Sus scrofa: one gene and its partners. The protein of the gene in region 3 purifies or fractionates together with the protein of the main gene of each other region. This does not show direct contact. Links are inferred from orthologs where the notes say so. Each region holds a gene or a part of one and is shown on either strand. Other genes may lie near its edges.

The links.
Region 1: the proteins of SNCA (region 3) and CLU purify together in Homo sapiens (affinity purification with western blotting; 3 studies listed by BioGRID and IntAct, with this or other methods). This does not show direct contact. The link is inferred for Sus scrofa from reciprocal best matches to the Homo sapiens genes SNCA and CLU.
Region 2: the proteins of SNCA (region 3) and SLC6A3 purify together in Homo sapiens (affinity purification with western blotting; 6 studies listed by BioGRID and IntAct, with this or other methods). This does not show direct contact. The link is inferred for Sus scrofa from reciprocal best matches to the Homo sapiens genes SNCA and SLC6A3.
Region 4: the proteins of SNCA (region 3) and PARK7 purify together in Homo sapiens (affinity purification with western blotting; 3 studies listed by BioGRID and IntAct, with this or other methods). This does not show direct contact. The link is inferred for Sus scrofa from reciprocal best matches to the Homo sapiens genes SNCA and PARK7.

The regions. Positions count from the first base shown.
Region 1 is NC_010456.5:11,345,820-11,350,465, reverse strand, and holds the start of CLU (clusterin precursor), read left to right. Parts: upstream 1-1,473; 5' UTR 1,474-1,488; coding exon 1,489-1,585; intron 1,586-2,620; coding exon of another isoform or gene 2,621-2,744; intron 2,745-3,117; coding exon 3,118-3,266; intron 3,267-4,646.
Region 2 is NC_010458.4:79,184,665-79,189,286, forward strand, and holds the start of SLC6A3 (sodium-dependent dopamine transporter), read left to right. Parts: upstream 1-1,449; 5' UTR 1,450-1,537; intron 1,538-3,255; 5' UTR 3,256-3,299; coding exon 3,300-3,585; intron 3,586-4,622. UniProt on the Homo sapiens protein: Mediates sodium- and chloride-dependent transport of dopamine. Also mediates sodium- and chloride-dependent transport of norepinephrine (also known as noradrenaline). Regulator of light-dependent retinal hyaloid vessel regression, downstream of OPN5 signaling.
Region 3 is NC_010450.4:129,246,191-129,250,704, forward strand, and holds the start of SNCA (alpha-synuclein), read left to right. Parts: upstream 1-1,533; 5' UTR 1,534-1,611; exon of another isoform or gene 1,612-1,735; intron 1,736-2,368; exon of another isoform or gene 2,369-3,096; intron 3,097-3,213; exon of another isoform or gene 3,214-3,235; intron 3,236-3,584; exon of another isoform or gene 3,585-3,908; intron 3,909-3,985; exon of another isoform or gene 3,986-4,078; intron 4,079-4,217; 5' UTR 4,218-4,242; coding exon 4,243-4,363; intron 4,364-4,514. UniProt on the Homo sapiens protein: Neuronal protein that plays several roles in synaptic activity such as regulation of synaptic vesicle trafficking and subsequent neurotransmitter release.
Region 4 is NC_010448.4:68,628,097-68,632,499, forward strand, and holds the start of PARK7 (protein deglycase DJ-1), read left to right. Parts: upstream 1-1,230; 5' UTR 1,231-1,240; intron 1,241-2,235; 5' UTR 2,236-2,263; coding exon 2,264-2,353; intron 2,354-3,813; exon of another isoform or gene 3,814-3,885; intron 3,886-4,391; coding exon 4,392-4,403. UniProt on the Homo sapiens protein: Multifunctional protein with controversial molecular function which plays an important role in cell protection against oxidative stress and cell death acting as oxidative stress sensor and redox-sensitive chaperone and protease.

The DNA of each region.
Region 1 (4,646 bases), on a different chromosome or scaffold from region 3:
GGAGGGATTGGACAGGAGACTGGTTTCTTTCCCAGCTCGGAGCTCTATGGCTCCCGTGGTCCCAGTCCTGGTAGGAGATCCTACACTGACCACTGCTTTCCAGACTCCTCATGAAGGGCTCTTGCCTTTGGCTGCCCTGCCTCCCTTCCTCTCAGGACCCAATGCCCTGTCTTCTGGTATCAGAGGCTTATGTATGGATTTCTCAGAAATCATTGCCATCAGGGGCCTCCACACAACATCAGGGGTGTTTCTTGCTGGCTTTCTCTCTCTGGTGTGACAAAGGCTCTGTCCCTGCTCCAGGCGTTTCAGGCCTCAGTGAGCAGCTGGGGCAGAGCCGAGACACCTGAATTAGCGCCTGGCTCCACCACCCACTCACCATCTCTGGGGAAGGTGGTGACCCCGCCCTCTTCTCCCACGCTGCTTGAGAACCACAGCTCGGCTGCTTTGCTAATGATGTCTCAGGAGAGGTTTGCTTTATGAATATGCTCCCGAGGGTCCAGGGGGGCCTGCCAAGCTGAGAGCAGCTTCTGGATGTGCACCATCTCAGGAAGGAGAGACCCCCTTCCCGTTCTGTTCAGGGAAGTGGGCGAGTTCAGATTAGCGGTTCTGGGGAGGAGGTGCAGGGCACGGGGGTTCTGTTTTGCAACAGCTTCAGCTTCTGGGAAAGGGTCCATTGTGTAAGACCAGCTGGTCCAGAGCTCAGGGCAGCTGGCCGAGTGGTGGTGGGAGGACCTTGGCAGACACCCTGCTGTGGGCTTAGAATGTGCTAACCCAGAGGTCTGAGGTCCTCACTGCCTCAGACCCTGAAAAAGCAGTTTCAGGAGGTGTTGAGGCTTAGAGGCGGGCAGGGGGTAGGGGGGAGGAACTGCTGTGATTGATTGGTGATGTCTGCTGGGGCAGGATGGGTGATGCACACAGCAGCGGCCTGGACTGTCTGCACTCTGGACTGCAGTCCCCACTTTGGCAGGGGGAGGACGGGAGAGGCCAGATGAGTGACCCAAGAGAGGTGTTTTCAGAGTTTGTTTGATGTGAGCAGGTATCAGCAGATAGATGCCCTGCCTGGATGCAGACAGTATTGTGCCTTGCTCAGGCTTAGTCAGCTATTAAGGGTAAAGGGAGGAGAACGAGGAAAAGGGGGAGAAGGAGGAGGGGGACAGGGGGAGGGCAGCTTGGACCTGAGCCTGGTGGCTGTGACTCTGGAGTTCTTATATTAGGCTGCTGTCCTGTGGTTCCTGCCTCTATCTACTCCTTCCACTTGTCCGTGGCAAGTCTGAGCCTTTCTTGTCACTTCCCCAGATAAAGGGCAGTGGTGCCAGCTGAGGGGGTAGCCGAGGGCAAGGCCTCTGCTGGGCGCCTGGGAAGCCGAAGCCTCTGCAGGCAGCAGGCTAGAGCGGAAACCCCCCAGGCTGCCTGGCTGTTACCATGACAGTCCCTTGTTCTCTACAAACAGAGGCGTGCTAGAATTCCAGAACTGGAGAAGCAGGCGAGATGAAGACTCTGCTGCTCTTGGTGGGGCTGCTGCTGACCTGGGAGAATGGCCCCTGGGTGCTGGGGGACAAGGCCATCTCGGACAAAGAGCTCCAGGGTAAGTGAGCCTGTGCGCCTCCTCACATGCTCCCTCCCCGTCCTGGGTCCCAGGGTTAGAGAGCACCTTTCTCCCTCCTGTGCATCCCGTCGCACCTGCTCTGCCCCAGCCTTGCTGAGGCCTCCCTCGCCAGCCTGGGCTTTGCTGTCAGCTTGATTTCAAGGCAGTTTCAGGTTGTTCTCAAGCCCTTTCTGGCTGCTGCACCTCACTGGTCTGTTTCCCTCCGAGCCTGGCACCCACACCTCCTCCATGAAACCCCATGAAGCCTGGACCCTTGGCGCCTCTGTGGCCTGCCGTTTCTGAGTTGCCGGGGCACTTGTTCCCTGTATCCATCCCTTTCCACCTAGGAAACCAGTGCCCTGGATTCAGGAGAGGGGAACTCTCATTCCCTAAGAGGCTTGACATCCTTCAGAGCCCCGCTGGTGGTCCCCTCTTCTGCCAGACCTTTCCTGAAACCTAAATTCCCTCCTCCCCACTCTGTCCTAGCAGCTGACCACTGCAGGGCAGTAGTTAAAAACCCTGAGATCAGTTCTGGGTGGGTGTCTGGCTCCACCCTCCCCAGCTGTCTGATCTTGGGTGAGTGTCTTGATCTCTTTATCCTCATTGGTGCTGTGGGGTGAGGACAGATGGGCATGTTAAATAAAATGCATAAGAAGTGTTCAGCTTTGGAGTTCCTGTCATGGCTCAGTGGTAACGAATCCGACCAGTATGCATGAAGACGAGGGTTTGATCCCTGGCTTTGCTGTGTGTTAAGGATCTGGCATTGCCATGAGATGTGGTGTAAGCCACAGACACAGCTCAGATCTGGCATTGCTGTGGCTGTGGCATAGGCCGGCAGCTACAGCTCCAATTTGCCCCCTAGCCTGGGAACTTTCATATGCTGTGGGTGTGGCGCAAAAAAAAAAAAAAGAGAGAGAGAGAGAGAAGCGTTCAGCTCAGCTCCTGGCTCAAGATCAGAAACGTATTGGCTGTTATTTTCGGAAGTTCATTGACACTGTCTCATTGCATTTGTCACCCTGCTGTGTCTGATCACAGTCCCCTCGAGGAATGGTGTTGTTAATCCACAGTGCTTCCTGTCCCCGTCTCCTGACACCATGCATTGGAACAAAGAAGAACACATGCGTGCTTAAACTCAAGTCCAGAAAGACTTGTATCCAAAGTAATAATATTTACATTTTCATGCTTAAGCAGTTACCCTTGAAAATTTTCTTCGGCAGCCAATTAGGCTGCTTCTCCAGAGCCCTGGAGGTGGCCTGGGTTGTCTCTCCTCTGGGGTGTGTCTCTCTGATGGTTGGTGTTTCTGAGCAGGGTGGGGTGTAATGGATGCTCCTCGGTCCTGGGTCTGCAGTGAGCCCTGTGATGGAACTTGGGTTGGCAGAGGCTGGGCCCGAAGGCTGCCTGTCAGGGGCTCCTAGGCTTGGCAGCCCCTAGACCCACTGGCCTTTCCGACCCTTCCAGCTGGTTCCAGGCTTATATCCCCAGCACCATTCCTTCCTCTCGCCCCATCTACCTCCCTTGCGCTTTTCTTGCAGAAATGTCCACCGAGGGGAGTAAGTACGTTAATAAAGAAATTAAAAATGCCCTCAAGGAGGTGAAACAGATAAAGACCCTAATAGAACAATCAAATGAAGAGCGCAAATCACTGCTCAGCTCCCTGGAGGAAGCCAAGAAGAAGAAAGAGGTGAGGAAGAGCCAGGTGCCCCCCCCCCCCCCCCCGCCCTGACCCTCTGTGCAGGGGGGAGGGACTGGCTGTCGCTCCTCTGGATGGCCTGCCAGGTTGTCAGCCAGGTTGCCATGGCAACCCACAGTCCTTCCAGGCGGTGTCAGCTGATCCTGGGGCTGTGGTTAACAAACAGGGAAGGTTTATTTGCTTTTGAAAGCTTCAAGGGGTGAGATCTTGGATCTGGTTTTGTTACCAGCCTGGCCCAGGGCCTGCTGCCAAGATTCACTTCAGTAGATTTTGCTAGACCTTGATTATGACCAAACTCCAAGGCAGGCTTTGGGTAGGGTCTGTCACGGACATGGGTTAGGAGGGGGATGGCACCCCACCTTCAGGAAGCTTGTCTTGGAGGGGTACAGGGTATCTTTGGGGGTACAGTGGGCACACACTGCCCATGTCTTTCTAGAGTTCTGGACTACTTCATAAAGAGACACCCAGGTCCCTGGTGAACATACAAAACTAAAATTCTGCAATTCAATAAACAGCTTATTTTTTTAAAAAATCAATAGTCTCCTTAAGGGTATCCTCAAAGCCTACTCCCGTAGTCATACCTTCCCCCATGACAAAGAAGCTGTGATGGGGCCACCTGTCACCGTTGTGATCCCCAACACATAGAGTAAAAGCATTGTAAAGACTTGGAGAGGTTCTTCAGTAAAGAAACACATGGAACTTCATTTAACCCAAGTGTTTTTTTCCCAATCGAAGTGACCCAGGAATCCATTATTTTCCTCCCCAACTGTTTGTAGCAGAGCTCTCACTTTCTTTGAAGCTTAAGGCCCTTTCTTGGCATCAGTCTTCGTTCTCACGATACGCTAAGAATCCTTTTAGAGCCCATGTAGAAGCAGCCAGTCTTGCTCTTGAATTTTTACAGTTCTCCTTGAGGTTCAATGTTTGACCATCCATGTTCCATGACAAAGCACATCAAATTTGAAAAAAGACCCTATGACTTCTTAGTGGAAGAGCATGTGAACTGGAAAGAAAGTAAGAGGGCAGAATAGTTGCTGCCTGTGAATCAGCCCAGTAGGAGGTGTGTGCAGAGCTGAGGGCCGGGGACAAGGGACATGGGGCAGGGAACGATCTCACATACCCCAAAATCCTCCTGGTCAGATAGTCATAGTGTAGCTTTGCTTTGGCTGTGGATGGTCTACTTAATTCTTTGAAAACTAAGCTACTCATGTATCAAGATTTTCACCTAGAAAAGCAGGAGTAGAGCTCCTATTGTGGTGCAGTGGTTAACGAATCCAACTAGTAACCATGAGGTTGCAAGTTGGATCCCTGACCTCGCTCATTGGGTTAAGGATCCGGTGTTGCCATGAGCTGTGGTGTAGGTCGAAGATTCGG
Region 2 (4,622 bases), on a different chromosome or scaffold from region 3:
GTGACCCTCATGTGCAGGCCCAGCAGCTGCCCACCCCGGGCACTTTGCTGTGGCAGCCAGAGGGGCCTGGGTCCCGGGCCCTGCTGTCAGGCCTCAGTCCAGTTGAGAGCCGGCACAGCCCTGTTGAGGGCACCAGCCCCTGACCAGGAGGCTGTGGGAGGCAGTGGGGCATGGTCTCCAGGGTGAGGCGGGGCTGATGGGCGCTCTGCGCGCCCAACAGAGGGCCACGGCTTGGGTGACTCTGCAGAGCAGGGACAGGTGGCCCAGATAGGGTGCAGAGTCGGCCTGTGTGGAGCTTACCCTAGATGGGCGGGGGACAAGCAGCTGGGCTTGGGTCAACGGGGCCTGCAAGGTGCAGAGCCAGGGTGGCCGCCTACCTTGATGCCATCCAGCACCGCAGGTCCTGGGCCTGCCCGGTGGCCTGGGGACTCCATTCCTCCGGATGGTGAGTGAACAGCCCTGCTGGGGCATCTCGGCTGGAGCTGTATCGACCGCTGTAGCTTTCCAGCCGGTCCGTCGGGGAAATCGTTTTCCAATGCGAGAGAGATTCGACCCCTTGCGCTCGATAAGGGCAACGTGCACGGAGGCTCCGCTCCTTGCGGACTCGATCGGCTCCTGCGCTCCTGCGCGGGAGCGGCTCCCAGGGACGCAGAAGGACCCGCGTCTCGGCAGCCCGGATCCAGGCGGCAATCAAGTACCTCGCGGCCCTGAGGCAGTACGCGGGCCAGAGCAGAGAAGGCTGAGACCCCAGGCGCGGCGTGAGTCTGCTCGTCAGGGGCGGGCAGGGGTCACCAGGCGCTAGGGACGGGGGCAGGACCCAGTGTAGGATCCCCGCCCGCTCCGCCCCAGCTCCCAGTGGGATCGGGCCGGTCCAGGGTGTCCTCAGGGCACGGGACCTCGGGAGGGGTGGCCGCAGGGGGAGAAGACAACGGACATCTGGGTAGAAGGGTCTGGGCAGACGCAGGGGGAAGAGAAGCATAGGCAAGACCAGCTCGGCGCCCTGGACCCCGTGCTGTGCCCGCGCGTCCCGCCCAGCTCCCTCCCCACCACCGACTGCTCCGCCGGGCTCCACTGGGGCTCAGCGGAGGCTGGGCTGTGGGAGCCCCCCAAGGCAGATGCTGGTGCGTGCCGCAGCCACAGGGGCTGCAGTTTAGGGTGAGAGGAAGACAGAAAGCCACCTGTCTCCGTCCTAAGAGGCCTGGGACCCGGCGGTGTCCCCTCTCCCAGGCGCCCCAGGCCCCAGACGTGCAAGGCCTGGGGCAGAGCGCGCTGCTGCGGACAGCAGACTGGCGCCCTCGCTGAGACCCAGCGGTCGGGTCCCGAGGGCGGGGTGCAGGGGCGTGGCCAGGCTCGTCCTCCGCCCACCTGGGGCGGTACAGAGGCGGAGCCAGGGAGGGCGGGCGCCCCGGTTGGCCAGCGGGGCCGGCAGGGCGGCAGGATAAGAGCCCAGAGCGCAGCGAGACCGGAGCGGAGCTTTCGCGGACACTTGGCAGCAGGACCAGTGGGACCACCTACGGAGCCGAGGCCGGGCGCGCAGGTGAGGCCGGGCCACCCGTGGGCCACCCTCCCCACCAGACGTCCCCCTGGGGATCCTCCGCTCCTTTCTCGGACCCCGCGGCTGCAAAGGGCCGGCGGGCACCATCGGGGCGGGGGCCTCCGTGTCCTGAAGGCAGCGGTCTTTCCAGAAGTCACCCACGGCTGGGGTGCACAGCGCACTGCGGCCATGCCATGGGCGGTCTAAAGGCGAACAGTGCCCGAGGGGTGCGTGCGCTAGAGGGCGCGGGCGATGTTCTCCACCCCGGGCTCTGTGATTCGGGCAGGGGGCCGCCCACAACCCCAGCTTCCCTGCAGCGCTGGCCCCCGGCCCTTGGCTGTTTGTGACTGATTCCTTCCCGTTGAACCAGACCTGGGAGGGGTGAGGCAGACGCGAGCCAGGGCTCCCCTGTCCCAAGGGGTGGTCTTCTCAGCCAGCGCTTCTCCTCACAGCTTGGCCTTGGCTTTTCCAGATGGGGGAGGGGCGCGGGGTTGTGGGGCTCTGAGGGCCCAGGCCGAGTGCAAGCACAGACCAGAGCTCTGCTTGCCAAGTGCCTGGTTCGCTTTCTGTACCCAAACCTGGCCTCTGAGGTCGGGGCCTCAGGAACGCGGTGGGCTCCCCTCAAATGCCCAGCCTCGTTTTCCCTGGCAGGTGGGCCCCGATGCACCTGCAAGTGCTGCTGTCAGAGCAAAAAGGCTGGGACCTGCCGCCTGTACCAGCCCAGCGCCCCCCACGGGACCCCGGCCAGGCCAGGCCCTCGTGCCCCTCCCACGAAAGCCCTTGCCCTGGGTTTCGTTCGTCTCAGGAAGGTGCTGAGGGTCTGTCACTGAGACGAGCTGCGTAAATGACTGATGGGCGTTTCTGTTCAAACGTGGATGCGGAGGAAAACGTCCCCATTCCTGCTGCCGTCCTGCCACCTTCTGCTTCCGGGGGGGTGTGCGTGTGTTTGTGCGTGTGTGCCTGTGCATGAGCACACTCGCGGGTGCCGCTGAAACGTCCAAATGCCAGGAGGCATGTTGGACGCTGCCCCTGGCCTCGGGCGCCCGCCTTGCTCTTGCTGTGACAGGTTTGCTCTGTTCTCCTTGGTTGTGTTTCCCAGTCCCACGAGCTAACTGGGAAAAAGCTGCTGGTAAAAGCTGCTGCCTCAGGAGCCAGTCCCGCACACCCAGGAGATCCTGCCGCAGGTTCGGCCCCTGCCGGGCCCTTCCAGGTGCGGCCACAGGTGGGTGTGGCTGCAGCCATTCCTCGGAGGAGACGCGTCATCTTAAACTCGGAATTCCTGTGGCTGCCTTGGGTTTTAAGTTGTGCTCTTTACTTTGGCCACTGAGTAGAAACTACGTGTGTGCGCTGTCGTGAAGACTTAGGTGGGACACTATCTGAAGATGGTCCACTGACTCCCCGGAGTGGGGGAGGCTGCAGGGGACGTCTTGCACTATAACTCAAAGCGAATGGGAGATGACACAGCACCATCCTTTGACAGGAGGGGAGAGGGGACCCGGGGGTGGGGGGCAGAGCGGAGGTCTGTCCTGAGGCCCCGCCCCCCGCCTGCCTCCTGCCCTCGCCCTGGCTGGGTCCTCCATCCAGGGGGCCTGGAATGTGTTCATTCTGCCCCAGGAAAACGGCCGGAAGCGCCTCGATCTGCTCGTGCCCCCGCCACGCTGTTGTTCTGGCTGCTCAACCCTTGCTCTCCTGTGTGTGCTTCTTTTTCATGCCGGCTGAAGACCCAGAGGGAAGATCTGCTCGGGGCTCCTGCTCCCCGGATGCCATGAGGCACAGCAGGTGCTCCGTGGCCCTGGTGTCTTCCGCGGTGGCGCCAGCCAAGGAGGCCAACGCCACGGGCCCCAAGGCGGTGGAGCTGGTCCTGGTCAAGGAGCAAAATGGGGTGCAGCTCACGAACTCCACCCTCCTCAGCCCCCCGCAGAGCTGCGCCGAGGCCCCAGATCGGGAGACCTGGAGCAAGAAGGCCGACTTCCTCCTCTCGGTGATTGGCTTCGCCGTGGACCTGGCCAACGTCTGGCGGTTTCCTTACCTGTGCTACAAAAATGGTGGGGGTGAGTGCTGTCCCCCACCCCACGCCCTCCTGCCAGGGGCCAGGGCCAGGGGCAGGGCTCTGGGGAGTGAGGGCCACCCTCCTCACCCTCCCACCGTGGCCAGGGCCAGGGGGTGCTGGGGCAGGGCTCTGGGGAGTGGAGCCATCGCACGGCACAGCCTCCCGGGACAGACATGGTGCTCAGAGCCGCCCCATCCCCTGACCGCCTCCCCAGCTGAGCCCAGAAAGCAGAAGCCAGGGTTTGGAGCTGGAGGGGCCACGGCCCTGCCTGCTGGTTCCGAAGGTGGTTTCACTTTGGCCGACTTAACCAGCTGACACGTGTGCAGAGGCCCTTGAACTTGGAGGAGCCGAAGTTGTCCCAGGGACAGGCCCGTCTCCTCCCCTCCCCACCTCACCCCTGCACGGCCGGGCCTGGAATTGCCAGATCTGGCCTCCAGGTAGAAAACTAGGAAACAGGCCAGGGCTGCTCAGAAATTCAGGCTGAGACATTAGGCTGGTGCTCGTTCCTGTGAGAGGCCTCAATGCGGCCGGGGGTCAGTCCCTGAGGGGCTTCCAGAGCCCCCGGTGGGCAGATTCCCTGGCCCCCTTTGAGGCCTAAGTGGGTACAGAAGTTGCCCCAAGACAGGCAGCTCTGTGGGTGTCCCTGCACCCCTCCCAGAAAGAGAGCCCCCCATTTGAGGCAGTGTGACCTCAGGAGGGTCTCAGGAGGCTGAGCCCAGGGGCCCTGGACTTCGTGCTCAGAGTGCAGTGTGGCTTTGAGAGGAACTGGGTGCCGGGGTGGGGGGGAACCCCAGCCCCAGGGCAGCGCCCACCAGCAGAGAGACAGCTCAAATGCAGAGGCCCAGGTAGGGTCAGACCCCGAAGGACTCAAGAGAAGAGGGGACGGAGGGCAGGACCTGCCGGCAGTGCCAGGAACAGAGCCGCGATGCGGGCAGCGGCCTCATGGGCTCTGCTCTGGGGCTGCCTCTGCAGGTGGGGAGGAGCGGGACCCACGGCAGGACACGTCCAGGCCCTGGTGATGTGGGGCCAGGTGTGGAG
Region 3 (4,514 bases):
TTTATTTTTAACGGTGTGGGTTCCACTAATGTATGTCTTTTCCCCTCTCTCTTTTTATTGGAGTTTTTACTGAAGTTTTGTTGAAGTAGAGTTGATTTACAAAGTGGTGATACTTTCTGCTGTACAGCACAGTGATTCAGTTCTACGTGTACACACATTCCATTCCCTTTCAGATGCTTTTCCCAGCATGTATTTTTCAAAACTGTTTTAAGGGAACACTCAAGAGCTGAGCCTATCGCTGTTTATAAATCTTACTTAAAATTGAGAAAAGACCATTGAAATAGTATTGTTTATTTTAAAAGATTTATATTTTATGGATGCAGGGTTAAATATTTACAGATGAAAAGACATATATAATTCTTGGGATTTAGTAAAAATTGGGGGAAGGAGTAGTGATAAATATAGGGAATAGACAAGAATGCAGATGCACGTGGTTGACTGCATTAGAAAACAATGGAAGGAGTTCCCGTCGTGGCGCAGTGGTTAACGAATCCGACTAGGAACCATGAGGTTGCAGGTTCGGTCCCTGCCCTTGCTCAGTGGGTTAACGATCCTGCGTTGCCGTGAGCTGTGGTGTAGGTTGCAGACGCGGCTCGGATCCCGCGTTGCTGTGGCTCTGGCGTAGGCCGGTGGCTACAGCTCCGATTCAACCCCTAGCCTGGGAACCTCCATATGCCACGGGAGCGGCCCAAGAAATAGCAACAACAACAATAACAACAACAACAACAACAAAAAAAAAAAAAAAGAAGAAAGAAAACAGTGGAAGCTGGGTGATATTCCATGGAGAGTCCTTTATTCTATTTTTGTTTTTGTTTTGCTTTTTAGGGGTGCACCCGCAGTATATGGAAGTTCCCAGGCCAGGGGTGGCTGGACCTGTAGCTACTGGCCTATACTACTACTACAGCCACAGCAACACCAGATCCCAGCCCTATCCCTGACCCACACTGCAGCTCATGGCAATGCAGGATCCTGAACCCATTAAGTGAGGCTGGGGATGGAACCCGCATCCCCACGGATACTAGTTGGGTTTGTCACTGCTGAGCCACAACAGGAATTCCTATTCTCTCCATTCTTGTATGTTTGAACATTTCCCATAATAAAAAGTTGAAAAGAGAGGGATCATCTTGGTTCCTCTCCCTTTACAAGAGAAAACTGAACATAACTTGTATTGGCTCTCAAAGCCAAAAAGCAAACCAACTTCCAAGTTTCCTTCCAAGTTCCCCAGGAAACAAAATAGGAGCGTTTTTAGAAAGCCTACTTTTTAAAAGGGCCGACCATCAGTGCAAGGAGTAGGTTAAGCAATATATATACTTGCTTCCCATCTCTTTGGGTTTCAAACTGTTGTTTTTGTAGATTTAAATTACTTTTTACTCACATTCCAGAATGTGAGTCCAAGGATCAGAGAAATTCCCCCCCACACACACACAAATAAACACAAGACAAGCAAAAAAAAAAAAAAAAATCTGCAAAGACCTGTTTTTTCCCCTTCCAGTTCTAAAAGCATCCTCCTATTCCAGGCAAAGCAAGCAGAGGCAGTCTGTTAGGGGGAGGAGCTTGGTTCTCCATTCCGGTGTGATCCAGGAACAGCTGTTTTCCCTCCAGCTCTGAAAGGTGAAACTGTGTCAAGCAATGCAAAAATTGTCTTGAAGCTCGTGCATGTGTATGTCTGTGTGTCTGTGTGTGGGATGGGGTAGCCTGTCAGCCCCGAGGACAACGTGAATCAGTAGTCGGAAAGGTGAGTGGTATGTGGAATCTCTCTTTTCAGAAGGGGCCCATGAAATTGGATATGACGGTTCAGGAGACTCAGTCACTCTGGATTTATCTCTTCCATCCAGGAACAGGAATCTGGAAAGTAAATCCCATTCTGAGAACAAAACGCCTTACAGCCGCTGGGTTTCGACGGCTGGGGAATATTTATTCCTTGATCCACTGATGGGAAAAATCAGCGTCTGGCAGCCGCTGATTGGTGGAAAGAAAATGGTGATAGTGGGGTGGGAAGAGGATTTGACGAGCCTCCTCCTGCCTCCTCAACCTGTAACTCATCCTTACTAGTCGCCTCTCCACCTGCCGGACCACTTCGGGCTCAGGAGAGGTTAAGAACAAACGTTAAATCCGGAGAATAGTTAAACAAAAGCTTCGTTAACATTGTGTCCTAAGGACCCTTCATCCAATTTCAGTGATGCGAGGGAAACCTGCGCTTGGTCCTGATGCGGGTACCTTCCGAAGCTACCTGTCTCCTTTAGCAGCTCCCCGAAAGACTGGCGCTATTTTGGTGGTAGAGCCCTCAGACCCCACTTCCCCGGGCTGGCTCATGACGTGGGGGTCCGCAGGAAAAACCGGGGGGAAAGGCGGAGACTGGGAAGGAGGGGGGATGGGGAGAGAGAAACAGACATCAGACATCAGCCCAAGCCTCAGAGCTCCGGATCGCCGCCAGAGCCCGGGCGCCCCTGAACTTGAGGTGAACCGCCCAACACCCCACCTTCCAGTCTCCCAAGCCCAGGCGGGCGGCTGGCGTTGGAGGTACAGCCTCCCACCACCCCCATCCGAGAAGAGGAGTGAAGTGCACGCGGCGGGGAAAGCAACGCGCGCAGGGAGCGGGGCGGGGAGCGGCGCTGACAAATCCGCTGCGGGGGCGGGGAGCGGAGGAGAAGGAGGAGGAAGACGAGGAGAAGGACCGAGACCACTAGAAGGGGACCCAGGAGAGGGGGCGAGAGACAGAGCGCAGCGACGTGGGGGTGAGGTGTGTGCTGGCTTTGGAGCAGACCCGGGGACCGCGCCTTGCCTTTGGCAGCCTTGGCGCTCTTTCGCCGCCTTCCCTTCCTCCCTTCTTCTGCCTGGAATCCTCTCGTGCGGGGGACGGGGAGTGGCGATTCGACGACAGGTTCGCGGGTTCCCTCCCACGCCCCCAGCCTCTCCCCCCAGGGTTGTGCCGACAGCCGCCTCCGCTGAGGGCCATCCCTCTCCTGGTGCCGCCTCCACCCTTCCTGTGCGCTCCTATCCTCCTCCCTCCCATTTAAATAATATTTAGGAATTGTTTTTAAAATTTTTTAAGTGGGTGCGGGGAGGATCGGAGTTCTCAGGAGCCAAGGGAATCAGGTAAGTACCTGTGAATCTAAGTGGGCAGCTTGGGAAATCTTGGAGAAAACCTGGTGGGAGAAGAGTCATTGCGGCGCCTGGGGGGGGGGGGGGGTTAGTGCTGCGGTGAGGACCTGCCATAGTCGAGTCTCTCTTAGAGGTGGGCACTGACCCCTTTGGTGAGCTTGAGGAAAGTAAATTGACTCGGCTTACCTCTCTTCTCGTCCTCAAAGGCTGAGCGGTCTGGATTCTCCGGGATACGCTTTTCCTTTGGGAAAGTCGAGGATGCTCGAAGGATTATAACTATTCAACTTTTATTTCTTACTTTCCTTAAATCCCCCAGCCCACCCTCTCTGTTCTCTCTGTAAAGTAAGCAAGCTGTATTGGGCAAGCCTTTAAATGGAAGCGCAGAGAGAGCAAGTCAACAGGTGGGAAGGGGTTAACAGGTGCTGGGCGCCGGGTGGGTGGCGGGTTCAGCGGGCTAACTCCACCTCTGGCAGCTGGCGCGCATCCGGAGACTGCCTGCAGGTGTGAACGCTCCTGCTTGCCTGCTCAGGGTAGACAGCTGAAGGTGGGGTACAGCGTCCAGTGGGTGAGAGCCACTGCAGGTGGGCTTGCAGTTGGCCTGGGGTTCAGCCACACCCAGAGTGAGTGGTTCTCTTCCCACCCCTCTTCCTGATCAACCTGTTAGCTGTTTGGGGGATTTATTTTGAGTATCTCTGACCCCCCCTCCTCCAGCTCCTTTTTCCGTTTCCTGTGATCTGTCTTCTAAACGCACTTCTAACTTAACACCTTCATCGTTTGGACCCTGGGAAATTGAAAGGGGGGAGGGGGTAAGTCCTTTCATGTAACTCCACTTGGAATGCGGTGAGAACAACTCAGATGATTCATCCCAATCCATGTTTAGGAGGCTAGACTTCCACCAAACAAGATGGATGGGAGATGCTAAATTTTTAATGCAAAAGCTAAAAAAAGGCTGCTTTGTCCAGTGGTTGAAACAGAGGTACACCTACAAGAGTCCTGCATTTTTTTTGGGGGGGGGCGGGGGAGTCTACTGATCTTTCAGTGATTTTTACCTTGGGTGGTTCTAATTTCGTTTTGTTTTACCCCAAAGTTCTCAAAGTGTATTTTGTGTTCTCCAGTGTGGTGTAAAGGAATTCATTAGCCATGGATGTATTCATGAAAGGACTTTCAAAAGCCAAGGAGGGAGTCGTGGCTGCTGCTGAAAAAACCAAACAGGGTGTGGCAGAAGCAGCGGGAAAGACAAAAGAGGGTGTGCTCTATGTAGGTAGGTAAGCCCTAGATGTCAATTTGAAATTTATTTATGACTGGTGGGTTAGGGTGATTGATGCCTTAAATGCTGGTATTTCTCAGTTTTGCAGCTTCACTTGTCAAAATGATGGTCTGAGTCAGAGGTTTGTGTAGGTAGGTGAATGTTT
Region 4 (4,403 bases), on a different chromosome or scaffold from region 3:
TTTGTTTGGCTTTTTAGGGCCGCACCCGCTGCATATGGAAGTTCCCAGGCTAGGGGAGGAATGGGAGCTACAGCTGCCTGCCACAGCCACAGCCACGCCAGATCCAAGCTGCACCTGCGACCTACATCACAGCTCACCGCCATGCCAGATACTTAACACCCCTGAGCGAGTCAGGGATAGAACCCATATTTTCATGAATACTAATTGGGTTCCTCAACGCTGAGCTACAAGGGGAACTCCAGGAATAAGGTATTTTTAAAATATGGTATGTACTTTTTAAAACATGCTATTGCCCACTTAATAGACTATAGTGTAACTTTATGTGCACTAGAAAACCAAAAAAAGTCCTGTCTTCCTTTATTGCATAGCTGCTTTATAGCGGTTGTCTGGGACCCATGTGTTATCTCCCAGGTACACCTGGAGATAGGTCTGAATTATGTGCTCAGCGGTCACACTAATCCTGTGGATGCAGAAGCAGCATTGGAATACTTAAAAAAAAAATTGTTTTTTGAGAAACTAATACACGTGAAATTATCCATCCTAACCCAATTAGTCACGGGAACAGGTGATGAAGCTTGGGAAGACTTTGAAGAATCCTAATAGTGCGGAGGAGAATCCTAATAGTTCGAGAAGGAGCTCCAGGAAATAGGAACAATGCAAAGGGAGACCCAGGTCCACACAGGCGACGTAAAGAAACAATTCTGTTTTGCTAAATTGTGTGTTTAAAGAAAGCCGCCACGGCTCTCTAGACCGCACAACACGTCCACGCTGAGGCACAAAGCGGGTTCATTTCAGGGTGCGCCCGGGAGCACTGTAGGGGTACAACAGGCAGGCGAACCCCAAGGTTCTCCAAGCTGGGTTCGGCCGGATGTGACGGAACGCGAGGCCCGCGCCCTATCTCTACGCAGTGCGGGGCTGAGGATGCGGGGCCGAGGATGCGGGGCCGAGGATGCCGGCCGGGCGGCGTGCGCCTGCGCAGTGCGGGGCCGAGGATGTCGGCCGGCGGCGTGCGCCTGCGCGGTGCGGGGCGAGGATGCCGGCCGGCGGCGTGCGCCTGCGCGGTGCGGGGCGATGGCAAGCCGGACGGCGTGCGCCTGCGCGGTGCGGGACTGAGGCCAGAGCCTGGGGGCACGCGTGCGTACTCGGGTAGATTCCCGTTTAGTCCGGTTCTGGCCCAGTTGTCCTCGCAGGGACCAGAACGGGCCGAAGCGCTGCGTCTGCGGGAAGAAGCGAGGTTCAGGTCGGGGCCTTGGGGAGCGCGGCGCGTGCGCAGGCCGTGGCTCTGGGGGCGGCGAGGGGGTGCTGAGCCCCCGCTGGAGGGTGGCGGGGCCGCGGAAGGGAGCGCCCCAGAGGGTCCGCAAGGCTCAGGGCCTTGGGGAGCACGAATGGAATCAGGCGGCCTCCCGGGGTGAGCGGATGACGCCTTCGGCCGCCGGCGTGGTACCAGCTCTACGGCTGCGAAAATTTGCGTGCATACCGTCCCACCCGCTTGGGGCTAGTTAATCTTGTGTTTGCTGACGTCATTTTATTATAATCCGTTTTGCACGGAAAACAAACTCTAGAAAAAGAGTAGGCTATAAGCTGTTCAGACCCTAGCTTAGCAGCTCTCCTGTGTAAGAGAGCTAAGTGCAAAGAGAGACAGTCTAGCAGGATTGGGTTTAACGAGGGGGATTCCCATCTTAATCTGTCATTTAAGAAAAAAAAGTGTTCAAATATTTAACACTGTTAACCCCCACCCCGCCCCAGAATTTTCAGTGCAGTTATTGGAACTAAAAAAAAAAAAAAAAAAATTCCTCCAAAAATTTCAGGGGCTAATAGTTAAAACCTGTGTATTTCGTTTTTTACCCGTGAAAGTTCAGTCCCGTCCTTGTGAACTAGTGCTTGAAAAAGGAGGCGTTTTATCTCCCCCGCATTGTGTGAAATGCAAGACCTAGGAACTTGGGTCTTGGAAAACCTCATCTGTGATATGTTATTGGAAATTGGATTTAAAAAAAAACAAAATCTAAGCAATAATGACACGTGGTGGCAACCTTACTGTGTTTTCACCTCAAAGAGCAGCAGCTGAAATTCTTTGGGAACCCTAAAGTGCTTCTTCCTATTCATTTGTGCTTGTCTATCAAAACCTTTCTGTAGGAGCACTTAGTTACTCTGCTTAAAAAAGTTTCTAAATTGAAAGTTTTTGGCTCTTAGAGGGTGAAAGTTTTTCCGAAATCTTTTTTTTTTCTTTCTTTCCAGTTAAGTCTTCAGAAAATACAACATAAGAATGGCTTCTAAAAGGGCTCTGGTCATCCTGGCTAAAGGAGCAGAGGAGATGGAGACGGTTATTCCTGTAGATGTCATGAGACGAGCTGGAGTAAGTCCTCCAAAGTTTTCTAGCCCTCCTCCCTTTTAAAACATTTTTTTTTTTTAAATTGATTTTTGTCATTTTGAATGGAGTAATGTTCGGTGTACTTTATGAAATATTTTAAAAGTACACGACCGTACAGAGACTACATAGAACCAATTACCTGTTTATACACTTTTCCACGTTTAGTACTTGTTAACATCCCATATTTCTTACAGACCTGTTTTTTTGTTTTGTTTCTTTTTTTTTTTTTTTTTTGTCTTGTTAGGGCCACACCTGAAGCATAAGGAGGTTTCTAGGCAAGGGGTTGAATCTGAGCTGTAGCCGCTGGCCTGTGCCACAGCAATGCCAGATCTGAGCCGCATCTGTGACCTATACCACAGCTCACAGCAATGCTGGATCCTTAATCCACCAGGTGAGGCCGGGGATCAAACCTGCATCCTCATGGATCCTAGTCAGATTCATTTCTGCTGAGCCACGACAGGAACCCCCCTGTTTCTTTTTTTTTTTAAATTTTATTTAATTGAAGTGTAGTTGATTTACAGTGTCGTGTTGGTTTCTGACGTACAGCAGAGTGATTCGTATGTGTATACACACACACACACGTTCTGTTTTGTATTTTCTTTTTCATTATGGTTTATTATGGGAAAGTGAATATGGTTCACTGTGGTGTACAGTAGGACTTTGTTGTTTATCCATTGTATGTGTAGTAGTTTGCATCTGCTGAGCACAGACTCCCAATATGCCCCTCCCCTTGCCCCTCCCTTCTGGGAACGCAAGTCTCTTCTCCAGGTCACACCTGTTTCTTGAAGAACAAACGTGTTTTAAAGGAATAAAGCATCCTAAAGCCCTGTTTGTAAATTTCCCTAATCCTATTCCCCTTCTGGGCCTGGAGATCAAGACTCTTCTCACACTAAGGTGTATCCATCCTGTGCATGTCTTTCAAGTAGCATTAGGCTCCAGCTCTCATTTTGTCTGTATTATAAACCTGTATCATAACATTGAATACTTACATAGCTTGTACTGCATACTGGGTGTCATTCTGAGCACTTGCATTCTCTTAAAATGTTACAACAACTCTGAGTCGTAACTCTGCTGTTGCAAGTTACACCAAGGGCAATAATAAAAAGTTATTGCCATCCTCCTTTTACAGTTAAAGAAATGGAGGCACAGAGACATTATTCCATCCATCCATCAGTCAGTGAAATATTTAAAGTGCTCATGCTGTACTAAAGATACCGATCTAGTCTGCTTAATTTAAAATTGCTGCTCAGTATCGCACCACAGGAAGATGCCTGCACTGTCCTTTCTTCTGTTACATCGCTTCACAGGATTGTCACGCTCTGGGACAGGATTCCTTGTTCGGAGTGTGGAAGTTCTCTAGACTCTGAGCCTAAAAGGACGTGCTGGTCAGTTGGTCGATGTTATTGGATTCTGTCAAACCATCCAGAATACTAGCATGTGGGAGTTCCCTGGTGGTCTAATGGTTAGGACTCGGCACTTTCACTGCTGCAGCCTAGGTTCGATCCCTGGTCTGGGAATTCAGATCCCACATCGAGCCGCTGCTCACCACCGCCAAAAACAAAACAACAAAACAGACTAAAGTGCTGATACCTGGGCCCACAAGCCTTGAGGAAAATTCCCATTTTTCTCAGTATTTTCTACTTTATACATTTTTGCAAGGTAGGGTAGTATTTTGTTGTTTTAGCTCACGTCTCTACCTTACAAAAATCCCGTGAGGTTTAAATGGCAACAGCACCTTGGCAGGTGGATTGTGGATAGAATGATCATATTGATTGATCACCCAAACCAGACCCCTTGGTGGGAGGAAGGACATGAGGCAGACAGAGTGCTGGGACAGCATCACAGGCAACGGGGACAGACCTAGAGATGAGCGATAGTTAAGCAGCACATGAGCCTAAAGTCAGCATGGCTTTGTTGCAGTATTTCCTGCCAAGTTTTTTTAAGACACATGGCAGCTGTGAAAATGTTACTCTAAATTTATGTTTCAGTGTTATGAAATATCACGATGACGTCTTTCTCTTAGATTAAGGTCACC